3 linked regions of the Rattus norvegicus genome follow. The main gene of each other region encodes a partner of the protein of the gene in region 3 in a complex. Links are inferred from orthologs where the notes say so. Each region holds a gene or a part of one and is shown on either strand. Other genes may lie near its edges. The genes, in order: Ksr2, Ksr1 and Map2k1.

Region 1 (4,249 bases), on a different chromosome or scaffold from region 3:
GGGCTGGAGAGATGGCTCAGTGGTTAAGAGCACTGACTGCTCTTCCAGAGGTTGTGAGTTCAACTCCCAGCAACCACATGGTGGCTCACAACCATCTGTGATGGGATTTGATGCCCTCTTCTGGTGTGTCTGAGGACAACGACAGTGTACTCACATACATGAAATAAATAAATCTTTAAAAAAAAAAGACACCTTGCATAGATAAATTAGAACCAGCTGCCCATTGCTTGTTTGTGTATTTGCACAGTGCTGGAATTGAACCCAGGTCCTCGTGCACATTTCAAATGTGCTCTACCACTGAGCTCCATCCCCAGCCACAGAGTGCCCCGGGCTGTGTCAATCACTGCTCTCCAGGGAGTCAGTGAACAGAGGATGGGACACCACAGAAAGAAACAGAAGGAAACTCTGGGCAACTTAGTCTGTAAAAGTCAGCCTAGTTTTTGGTGACAGGGTGTAGAAGAGACATGGTGGGAGTGGTGGCTCTCAGGGGTTATCTGTGTAAACTTTCCCAAGTATAGTTCTGAACCGAGTCTGTTCTGGGTCCTGTGCAGCAGAGATAGGGGCTGGGCTAACCACAGCCCGAAACTTCCAGCAGCAAACCTTAGCCAACCCTTTTCTTCCAGCAGCAACCGCTAGTCAAACACTCCTACTCCTCTCTCTCTCTCTCTCTCTCTCTCTCTCTCTCTCTCTCTCTCCCCCACCCCCTAAGAAAGGCAATGCCTAGGCCTCCCAACGCACATCCCACTTTAACATTTATCTTATTTCATCCCTGGGGTTCATGTTCCCACTTGACAGGTGAGCACAGACATATATCCAAGGGCAGTAAGCACCGTATTTAAATATCCACGCACACAAACTCCTCTTTCCAAACCATAGTCTCCTGCATACAGACACCAGGAGGGCCAAACTTAAAATCATCGAGGAGAAAAAAAAGGCCTGACAAATGAATACATCCAAGAGGTGTGTTCATGCAGATGACCTGGTCAGCCAAGACTGAAGAAAGACTTCAGGCTCAGGAACTCACAAGTCAAGCCAGAGGCCAACTGAACCATCCAGCTCCATGATGCACGGCCATGCCAATGGGAACCCTCCTTTGCTCTGAGCTCCACAGTCACCACTTTCTGGCAAAGGCCAGCTAGTGGGAATTCCCAAATTAAATCAAGCAATGTGGACAGCTGGACCTTCGAGGGAAGGAAGGTGAAGGGGCTGAATCGGTCTGACATTTTGAACGAGGTAGGTGCGGGAGGATTTCAGTACATCAGGCCGTTCACAAAACCCTGAAAGCATCCTCTGGGGGCAAAAAAGATGGCCTTTGAAGGAAAATAGCTCCTTCCATTTCTTTGTGGTAACTTTGTAGCATCCCTATCACAGTCTCTCAGTGAACTGCTCCCGACTCCCCTCAAGTTCTGTCTGAGAGAGAGAGAGGATGCTACAAGGAGCCAAATGTAACTCCTTCTCCTGGACCCCTATCCGCCAAGTCTCACCAAGACAGCCCAAGAGCATTTTCCCCACGCCACCTAGTGCAAGAACCACTCCAGGCAACTGTAACATTGTTTCTTTTTACACATTTTGGGCCTGCAAAGAGAACCCCCCCCCTTTACATCAAATGATTGTTTTAGAAATAGGTACTTCCTTGGGGATTTTTTCTAAGCGTAGGTTGGGGGAGGTGAGGTGGGGGATGAGACACAGAGCAAAAGGTTGAATCCATTCTGGCAGCCCCATCTAACCAGTCAAAACCACCTTTGACCACCTGCAGAACACACAAGGTCACGTGGGTTTCCTGCAGCTCCTTAACATAGCACCCAGCGCTCAAGCCCCCGTGGCATATAAACAAATCCCAGAGAGAGAGAGAGAGAGAGAGAGAGAGAGAGAGAGAGAGAGAGAGAGAGAGAGAGAGAGAGGAGAGAGAGAGAGAGAATATATAATAACAACAATAACAATAACTCCCTCCTCCCACAAGAAAAGAATAATCATGGCAACAATACGGCACACCAATTATTACTGCTACCCACCACCACCCGGCCGAGCACAGACAGCAGCCACACTGGGAAGCGAAGAGACATCGGCGCTGGCTTTGCCAGGTGATAAATCATAGCGCATCATTCGTGCCCACCTGCGTTACCCTCTCCCCTCCCCGGGCCCTCCGTCAGCACACAGAACCCCAAAGGGAAGGGGACAGACTGGAAAAGGGGAAGGGATGGAAGGCTTGCCCCCACCCCCCACCGCAGGCAACACCTACCTCCAGGGTCCTGATCTCCTTCTGCGTGAGGTCGTTGGAAGCTGCACACTTCGTCCTAAGCCCTTCTAGATTGGAGATGCTCAGGTCGATCATGTTTTGAACCAGCTCGCACTGCTGCAAGGCTTTTTGCAAACTCAGAGGTTGCTGGTCTTCGCTTTTCGTCATGTTCTCCTCATCCATAGCTTGCTCTGCAACCCCCCTTCCCCTCCTCCTCCTCCACCTCCTCCCAGAAAGAAAAAAGGGGGAGGGAAGGAGTGGAGGTAGAGGGAGTCCACCCCCCCTACGCCTCCCCAACCTCTGCGACTTCTCAGCAGTGTCTCCTGAAGAAACCCAACATCTCACACAAGCTTGAGGGGGTGGGGGTTGGAGGAGGGGACAAGAGCCAAAATTTATTATTATTTGGGGCGGGGGTAGAGTATCAGGCAGTCTGCATTAGAATGTCCCTTGTCTCTCTCCTCTCTCTTTCTCTGTGTCCCTGGTCCCTAAAAAGGGAGAGATGCCCGTTTGTCAGAAGCCAACCAGGTGGTAGGGTGCAGTCTGTACACTTAGAGAGGGGGAGGAGAAAGAGGAGGAGGGCGAGGAGGAGGAAGGGGAGGAGGAGAAGTGGAAGGAGGAGGAAGAGGGAAATAGAGCTCACGCTTCGCACACCGGCTCCGTGAAGGGCGGAATTATATGTATATAAATCTATTTGGTCGGCTGGCTTTTATGTCAAAAAGGAGCGCGCCTGCCCCCCTCCCGGTCGCGGTGACACGGCATGGTCCGCGGGTCCCCGCGCTCAGCGCGCTCTCGGGATGCTGTGCGCAAGGCTGGCGCGGCTGCGGTGCCCACTGCGGCTGGCTGCGGTCTGCTCCCCGCGACAATGCTGCTGCTGCTGCTGCTGCTGCTGCTGCTGCTGTTGCCGCCACCGGGCTCCAGGGGGGACGGCTGCTGCAATTGCTCCTGCCTCGCTCCACACCGACATCTTGCCTGTCAATCACAGGGCGGGGTGGGAAGCGGAGCGAGGGATGCAGCGCGGAGAGGCGCCGTGCGCGCAGCCGGTGCCCGGGTCTCCCCCACCCTGGGCGCGCCTGGGACCCGCTGGCGGCAGGCGGCTCGTGCACCTGCCCGCCGGGCCACCCTCCAGCCGGGGAGGCGGGGGTCCCTTGGGGCTGAGGGGCTTGCGTGCGGAGCGCAGCCGCTACGATGCTGTGGGGGCTGGGAGGGGGGCCGGTCTGGTCCCGGAGGTAGCGGGGAGGCCCGGCCCGGGGGCGGGGAGAGGTACTCGGTGGCCTGGGTGGGGGTGGGGGCCACTACGCCAGCCCGGATCTCGCGAGACGAGGCCCGAGCGCGACTCAGCAGGTGCGCGGGGACCCGGGAGCAGGTGCGCGCTCGCCTCGCTGTACTCTGTGCACCGTTCCTGGCTTTGCGGGTGGCTTCTTGTGGCTTTGGTGGGCTGGAGGGTGCGGGAAACCAACCTTGATGGCTTTCCCAGAATTGGGACGGGTGGGGACGACAACTACTTGGGCCTGATCTAGCTGAGGTCCATTCGCAGGATGACAGAGGCTTTGCCTTGCTCCCACAAGGGCTTGTGGAATCTAACTTCAACTACCGACCCTGACCTTTGTCAGTCACCTACGGTACCAGAGTAAAGAACGGCCAGTACATTTTAAAGAAGTTGAGGATTGGGGAGGATACTTTGTGACAAGAAAGGGGAATCATATATGAAATTTTAAAATTTCACTATGTAGTTAATAAAGTTGTACCGAGTGCCTCTGATATAGATACGCTTTTTATTAATTAATGGGGTGGGGGATTCACGTGCAGCACAGCGTGTGGGCGAAGTTAGCGCCCAGTTAGTGAAGACAATTCTCTCCTTCCACCCTGGGCTCCAGGAATTGAACTGAGCTGTCCGTACTCACTGAGCCATTTCTATAAATTAATAAAAGACACAGGCTTTCTTCTTAGCCGAATGGGATGGCTCACGCCTTTAATCCTAGCACTAGGGAGGCAGAGGCAGGTGGATCTTTAGGA
Region 2 (3,620 bases), on a different chromosome or scaffold from region 3:
TGTCCGAGAGGCCCTCGCTGAGGCCGGGGACTGGAGAGTCTGAGGCAGGCAGGGCAGACACAGAGATGGAACGGGGTCCCTGAGTGCTGGCACCCGCTCTGCCCAGCGAGGAGAGCATGTCCACTGAAGGCCCAGAGCTACTTTCTCGTGCTTCTGCTGAACTCCAACCAGAGTCCTCTTTGTGCTCCCCTCCTGTGGGCCAAGTAGTCAGTCAGAAATACAAAGGACTCAGGGGTGCCACTACTATGGGAAAGCACGACACCTTGATGGAGATAACAGCATTACTCAGCAGCAGGCTCTGCTCCCAGATTCACTTTCTCCCCCCAACAGCACCTTCTATGGCCTGATATTGAGAAGCACACCTGACCTTTAGTGACCCCTAGTTTACTTCTCCATTACAACAACCCTGTCAGAGGGGCAGTCTTATTGTACAGACGAGGAACTGAGGTACTGGGAGGTCAAGGGAAGCTGACTCCTCAGCTCATCCTGGCTCTCACCAGGCCCTGCTGGAGTGCAAGCAAGATGCTCTGACTGCTCTCAACCCTGGTGGCCAGTGAAGAAGTCATGTGGGATGACAGGAAGCCCACAACCTGTCACAGGGACACAGGAGCTGCATGGCCGAGTGACGAGAAAGGAAGCTGTGGAAATTCTCTTCCCTAGGGCTGTGCCTTGGCACGGTGGACCCCAGACACACCTAGAACCACAGATACTCAGACGCTATGAATAAAGAACGTAGGCTCTACCCTTTGGGGGATAAAATTAATTAGCTGGGCATGGTAGCACACAGAGGCAGGAGGATCTCTGAGTTTGAGGCCAGCCAGGTCTAGACAGGGAGTTCCAGGTCAATCAGCACGACACAGGGACCCTGTCTTATAAAAGAGACGAGTGTAAAGCTGGGTGCCCCCCTTTCAGCCCCAGGAGGCTGGAGATGAAGCAGCAGCTCTTTTAAGCGAGGCTCACATCAGTGCCCTCTCTGGGTGGTAGTCGGAACATTAAGCCAACTGTTTCCAAGGGAAGACATAAAGGGCCTATGAGTAATCCCAGGGGAGACTGCGGTAATGGCAGGATTATACACAGCCCGGGATAGCCCTATAAGAAGCAGCACGTTTTCTCTAACTATGCTGGGCTCGGGCCACACTGATACCAAGAGGCTTTGTGAGCAGAGCTGAAACTGCTCATGAGGACGGGAGATGGAATGCAGGAAGCCGGTGGCAGGGGCTGGAGCAACACAGACGCCTTCCAGTATGTGTCGGAGGCGTGGCATACAGGACCTGAACTGAAAGCAGACTGGGATTCCTAACAATGGCGGAGGCTTTTTAGGTCCGACTAGCTAGACCAATAGACTCCAAGGCCCTGGGGACTCTGAGAAGGCTTCCTAGGAGCCAAGGCCCAGCATACTTTCCAAACAGCCGCACCAAATCTAACCCCAAACCCTGAAGCACAACCTAGCTATCCCAAGGCCGGCTTTGGCAAAGTCCCATCTCCCAAAGGAACTGGCCAGGCCTGGGAGCACAGGCAGAAGTAGAGTCCTGGGGGAGAGCAGGCATTCCTTACCCAGACCAGTCACCTTCCGAAGGCAGGTGAGGGCTTGCTGTAGACGGCTGCACTCCTCAGCGCTGGCCCCCCATCGCCGCAGCATCTCCTTGGCTTTGGCCTCGTCCATCTCCAGCAGGGCATCCAGTGTGAGCTCTTGGGGGATCTCCTGGGGGTACAGAAGGGACAGGAAGAAAGCTGAGGGAGCAGTGAGGGAGTCTCAGCCCTCCGCTCCGAAGGACAGGCCTCCCAGCTGAGTGGCAGGAGCCAGCTGCTGTCTCGGACAGCCTCTGACTAGAAGCCACCACTTGTCAGGGGCAGAGCACTCACCCCCACCGTCAGTATGGCAGAAACAGCAGCTGAAGTGGAGTGCCACCTTCGGGTCAGAGATAAGGGGAAGAAGAAAAGTCCAGAAAGGCCTGGATGGGGCCTCACAGTCTGTTTATTTATTTATATTTTAAAATTTTTTGGTACAGGAAAGCTAGGAGTTTTGACACCTTTGGAAGCTCTTCTGGACATGACTGTATCTGAACCACACAAGAGACATCTCAAGCTTAATTGTTGTTAACAAGGACAACAACAACAACAACAAAAACAACAACACCAGTTACTGACTTGTTTGTAAGCCAGTCAATGTAGGCCAGCTAGACTGACCTGCTTATATCATCTACTTGGGAGGTGGAAGCAGGAGGATCCTAAGTTCAAAGCCTGCCTGGGTTAGAAAGCGAAGTCAAGGCCGGCTAAGGTGACTTAGTGAGACCTTGTCCCATAATGAAAAGGGAAGGCTGAGGCTGTAGGCCAGGCTGGCACAGTGTGCCCAGGATGCACAAAGCCCTAGGATCTAGCACTGCCTAAACCAGGCACGGTGGCTCTTGGGAAGTAGAGGCAGGAGGATGGCAAGTTCAAGGTCATCCTTGCCTACACAGTAAGTCTGGGGCCAGCTTAGGTTACATAAGACTGTCTAAAAAGGGGGTGGGAGCTAGGGAAGCAGGGCTGGATGTGTAGCTCAGTGGTAGAGAACTTGCAGGCCACTGGGATCATATTACATCTGGAGAATGAAGCTCAAAGGGCTACACGGCCGGACAAAGTGTTTTGCAGGAGGTGGGGGTGGGCATTAAGATGGAGTTTGCCTGCAAACCTGAAGACCTGAGTTCAATCCCCAGAACCCAGAACAAACCTGGGGACCTGAGTTCAATCTCCAGAACCCAGAAAAAGGTAGGAGAGAGCTTGATTCCACAATGATGTCCTCTGTCCCTGTACATATGCACTGTGGTGTGCACATGTGCACGCACTGTAAACATACACACATCAATAATAATAATAAAAATCTACGATTGGGCCAGCAACATGGCTTAGCAGGTAGGAGTAGCTTTGGGTCAGCAGCATGGCTTAGCAGGCAGGGTAATTCGAGGACAAACATGACAACGTGAGTTTCATTCTTGGATCCCCTAAGATTGCAGGACAGCATGGTCCTTTAATTTCTACGTGCACACAGAGATACACGTACACATGTGATCTCCTCAGGGGGTAAAGGGGAAAGTAGCTAGGGAAGACTTTTAAGACTTTTGTGTTAGGGGCTGGAGAGATGGCTCAGAGGTTAAGGACACTGTCTACTCTTCTAAAGGTCTTGAGTTCAATTCCCAGCAACCACATGGTGGGTCACAACCATCCGTAATGAGATCTGGTGCCTTATTCTGGTGTCTGCAGGCAGAATGCTGTATACATAATAAATCTTTTTTTTTTTTAAAGACTTTTGTGTTGTTTGGATGGAGAGATAGGGTCTTACCATGCAGACCAGGCTGGCCTTGAACTCACAAAGATCTACCTGCCTCTGACTCTCAAGTGCTGAGATTAAAGGCATGAGCCACCATGCCTGACCTTAGAAGAGATTTCTTTTTAATCCTAATTTTTGTTTTATGTGTATGGTATTCTGCCTTTTGTGTCTGTTTACTATGTATGAGCAGTGCCTGCAGGAGCCAGAAGAGGGCGCTGGATCTCCTGGAACCAGAGTTCTAGAACACTGAGCTGCCATGTGGGTGCTGAGGATTGAACCTGCGTCCTCTGGAAAAGCAGCCAGTACCTTTAAC
Region 3 (3,620 bases):
GTAATCAGGTGACAGTGGGACTCAGGAGAGTTGGGCTCTGGAGAAAAGACTACCAAGACAGGATGCTGGCTGAGCTAGAGTAGACTCTAAGCAGGAGCTGGATGCCAGGCAGGGAAATGATCCAGACACATTCATAAAGAAGGTGGAGAGAGGCAGAATGGAGGAAAGGATTTCAAACCTATTTTCTAAGTAGGTCCACTAGAGGATAAAAGAACTGGCAGTAGCCAGGTGGGGTGTGGTCATGTCCAAGTCTCTTGGGTTTAAGGGTCTGGCAATCAGATAAGATGTCAGGTGCATTCTCAAGTCTCTTTAGAATGGAAGCCAGACTCTGGAGCTAGATCTCTTGCAGTGCCTGAGACCTCAATTACATGTAAACACTTGTGAAAGGAAGACACTTGCTCTTCCCCAGAGGCCCACTGTGACTCATTTCTCAATCCTTATCCATCACCACAGTGAAAATGTATGGCTCCAGGTTCATAATATGGGGGTGCTAATAATGAAGCCTGCAGAAACACTGGAGAAAGGGAACTTCAGTTCATACCGACATGTAGGACCTTGTTCCCACGAAGGAGTTGGCCATGGAGTCAATTAGCTGCCCGCTGACCCCAAAATCGCAGAGTTTGATCTCCCCACGTGAGTTCACTAGAATGTTGGAAGGCTTGACATCTGTGAAGAAGAAAAAACAAGAAATGACAGCACAGAGTGGTTTGTGGAGGGGAAGGATCAGTGCTGTCTAGATCACACCACATGCGCCATCACAGGTGATCTGTGACCTGTAAACTCCAAAGGAAGTAGATAATGATGTCTACTCTCTTAGGACTCAGACCTGGCCATATGACTCATCAAAAGGAGTCAGCTATCATCACCAGTCAAAATGCCAAAGTCTGGAGCAGGGCACATTGGCTCTTGGGAGGCAAAGGCAGGTAGACCTTTGAGTTCAAGGCTAGCCTGGTCTACAGAGCTAGTTCCCAGGGATACACAGAGAAACCCAGTCTCTACACACAAAAAGAAGCAGAAAAAGGAGTAGGAGGAAGAGGAGGAAGAGGAGGAAGAGGAGTGGGAGTGGGAGGGGGAAGGGGGAGGAAGAGGAAGAGGAAGAAGAAGAGGAGGAGTGGGAAGGGGAAGGGGGAGGAGGAGGAGTGGGAGTGGGAGGGGGAAGGGGAGGAGGAGGAGTGGGAGTGGGAGGGGGAAGGGGGAGGAGGAGGAAGAAGAGGAAGAGGAGGAGTGGGAGTGAGAGGGGGAAGGGGAGGAGGAGAAGGAGGGAGAGGAGGAGGAGGAGTGGGAGTGAGAGGGGGAAGGGGGAGGAGGAGGAGGAGGAGTGGGAGTGGGAAGGGGGAGGAGGAGGAGTGGGAGTGAGAGGGGGAAGGAGGAGGAGGAGGAGGAGGAAGAAGAGGAGGAGGAGGAGGAGTGGGAGTGAGAGGGGGAAGGGGAGGAGGAGGAGGAGGAGGAGTGGGAGTGAGAGGGGAAGGGGGAGGAGGAAGAGGAAAAGGAGGAGGAAGAAGAGGAGGAGGAGTGGGAGTGGGAAGGGGGAGGAGGAGGAGTGGGAATGAGAGGGAGGAGGAAGAGGAGGAGGAGGAGGAGGAGGAGGAGGAGGAGGAGGAGGAGGAGGAGGAGGAGGAGGAGGAGGAGAATTCAAAGCTGTTACTTCAGGTACCCCTACTAGCAAGACACAGGGTAACTTCTGATAGGATTAAAAAGGAACGGAAGGCTGTAAGATCCTACTTCCTCAGCTTCCAGTACTAAGATCACAGGTGTCACCAAACCCAGCTAAAGTTATTTATTCTTTTTTTTTTTTTTTGGTTCTTTTTTTTTGGAGCTGGGGACCGAACCCAGGGCCTTGCGCTTCCTAGGTAAGCGCTCTACCACTAAGCTAAATCCCCAACCCTCAAAAAACTTTTAAAAAGAATAAATAACTTGGGGCTGGGGATTTAGCTCAGTGGCAAGGCCCTGGGTTCGATCCCCAGCTCCGAAAAAAAGAAAAGAAAAGAAGATTTTTGAGACAGTTTTCAAAATTACTTTATAGTTCTGTCCGGAACTCACTCTGTAGACCAGGCTGGCCTCAAACTCAGAGATCCACCTGATTCTACCTACCAAGTGCTGGGATTAAGGGCATGCATTAGCACTGCCTGGTTTAACTTGCTTATTCTTAAACAGATTCTAAAGATCTTCCCAAGGGTAAATTGGGGGTAGAGGGGCTGTGACAGCCCTACAATACTCCAGTTATCCCTTCCCTACCCTTATCTTCACACCAGCTCCAGCAAGGCAAGAAGAGCCCTCAGAGTCTGTCTTACCTTGGTGAACCCTGAGGAACACAAACCCCGATGATTGAACACATCTACACTCAGCACATAGTGTGACCATTCTGAAACCCAGCCTCACTATCACTCCCAAGCACTGGAGTTGGATCCAGGCCTAGCATTTCTATGGAGCTAGAAACCTCTCTACAACTCCACCTCCCACAGAGACCCTCCAAGATCATTCAGGCACTGGGAGAAATCTTAAATGAGTAAGATTCAAATTCACTTCCAAAACAGAGCTAAGTAAGGGTCCAGGGCTTATTCAAGGCCACAGGGCAAAAACTGCCCTCTATCTAGCATCCTACAACCACACTCCTCAGCAGTCTAAGCCTACTGGTTACTGAGCACCTGCCTCACACAGGTACCCTGCAATACCATGGAAAGGGCACCGGCATTCTGCCAAGTTCCCGTAACATCCAGTGCACATGATACTAACACCTACTGGTGTCAGGAGATAAATCAGCCAATGAGTGAGTGTGTAACACCAGGTAGTCTTTGGTACCCAGTCAGATAAGAGCAGGGTAAAAAAAAAAACACTATGCAGAAGTGTAAGGGCACACCTGCACGGTTCTCCATTGGAGAACGACTTTAACACTAGGTAGGTGGCGAGGGGCCAGCTACTCTTTCTCTAACAGCAGCTTACAAGAAAGAGGCCCTTGTCCTTGCCCTACAGTGTGCAGAACAGACCTTGGAGGTCACATGTTCAGGATATGGGAGCAACTTAGGAAGAGCCAAGGGTGTGATGTGCCTGTAGGGCTGGTACAGGCTCCCTAACATGAGCCTTCTCCCCATTGCCCCTCACCCATCCCAAATGTTTCCCATGGCCTTTCAGGTATGACCTGAAGCAAGAGAGGAGCACTAGCTGGAACCCTACCACCTATGCTCTATGTACTTTTTAGCAAGTCCTGGCTTCTCTGACCAGGGCAGCTCACATCAGAGTGTAGCCCTCACCTACATATATACTACACACACACACACACACACACACACACACACACACCATCCCCAGAGGTAGTTGCTGTGACCTCAGCCCAGAGCATCCCCTCCATGATGGCTGCATTCTCTGGCACGGCTGCTTCTCTCCCTCCAGGCTGCAGCTGCTGCTCTCTGAGGCTGAGCTGCCTCTAGCTGCTTTGCATCTGATTTCTATTCACATGGCAAGCAGGCATCTGCACTCAAGCTTACATAACCCTGCTCTCTCTTATATGGATCTGAACTCTAGCTTCAGCCTCCTAGACCCACCCATTTGCAGAGATTCCTGGGGCTGCAGAGGAGAAGCGTTACCCTTCAGGGCTTGAGAGCCAGACACTCTGCATGAAGCCC

The links.
Region 1: the proteins of Map2k1 (region 3) and Ksr2 are in contact, whole or in part, in a crystal structure (PDB 7UMB), measured with the Homo sapiens proteins. The link is inferred for Rattus norvegicus from reciprocal best matches to the Homo sapiens genes MAP2K1 and KSR2. Residues at the interface, in NP_002746.1 of Homo sapiens: Val81, Glu102, Met219, Ala220, Asn221, Ser222, Phe223, Val224, Gly225, Thr226, Arg227, Ser228, Met230, Arg234, Leu235, Gln236, Gly237, Met308, Ala309, Ile310, Phe311, Glu312, Leu314, Asp315, Val318, Asn319; in NP_775869.4 of Homo sapiens: Lys674, Arg818, Asp820, Lys821, Leu822, Arg823, Ile824, Gln825, Asn826, Ile837, Arg838, Gln839, Leu840, Ser841, Pro842, Gln877, Pro878, Ala879, Glu880, Ala881, Ile883, Trp884, Gln885, Gly887, Thr888, Met890.
Region 2: the proteins of Map2k1 (region 3) and Ksr1 are in contact, whole or in part, in a crystal structure (PDB 9AXH), measured with the Homo sapiens proteins. The link is inferred for Rattus norvegicus from reciprocal best matches to the Homo sapiens genes MAP2K1 and KSR1. Residues at the interface, in NP_002746.1 of Homo sapiens: Asp217, Ala220, Asn221, Ser222, Phe223, Val224, Gly225, Thr226, Arg227, Ser228, Met230, Arg234, Leu235, Gln236, Gly237, Met308, Ala309, Ile310, Phe311, Leu314, Asp315, Val318, Asn319; in XP_011523731.1 of Homo sapiens: Asn767, Gln768, Leu769, Lys770, Leu771, Ser772, His773, Leu776, Val784, Arg785, Met787, Thr788, Pro789, Asn823, Gln824, Ala825, Ala826, Glu827, Ala828, Ser829, Ile830, Trp831, Gln832, Gly834, Ser835.

Annotation. Positions count from the first base shown.
Region 1 is NC_086030.1:44,845,691-44,849,939, forward strand, and holds the start of Ksr2 (kinase suppressor of Ras 2), read right to left. Parts: upstream 2,866-4,249; 5' UTR 2,420-2,865; coding exon 2,240-2,419; intron 1-2,239. UniProt on the Homo sapiens protein: Location-regulated scaffold connecting MEK to RAF. Has very low protein kinase activity and can phosphorylate MAP2K1 at several Ser and Thr residues with very low efficiency (in vitro).
Region 2 is NC_086028.1:64,491,571-64,495,190, forward strand, and holds part of Ksr1 (kinase suppressor of Ras 1), read right to left. Parts: intron 1,703-3,620; coding exon 1,555-1,702; intron 193-1,554; coding exon 1-192.
Region 3 is NC_086026.1:73,587,596-73,591,215, forward strand, and holds part of Map2k1 (dual specificity mitogen-activated protein kinase kinase 1), read right to left. Parts: intron 667-3,620; coding exon 542-666; intron 1-541. UniProt on the Homo sapiens protein: Dual specificity protein kinase which acts as an essential component of the MAP kinase signal transduction pathway.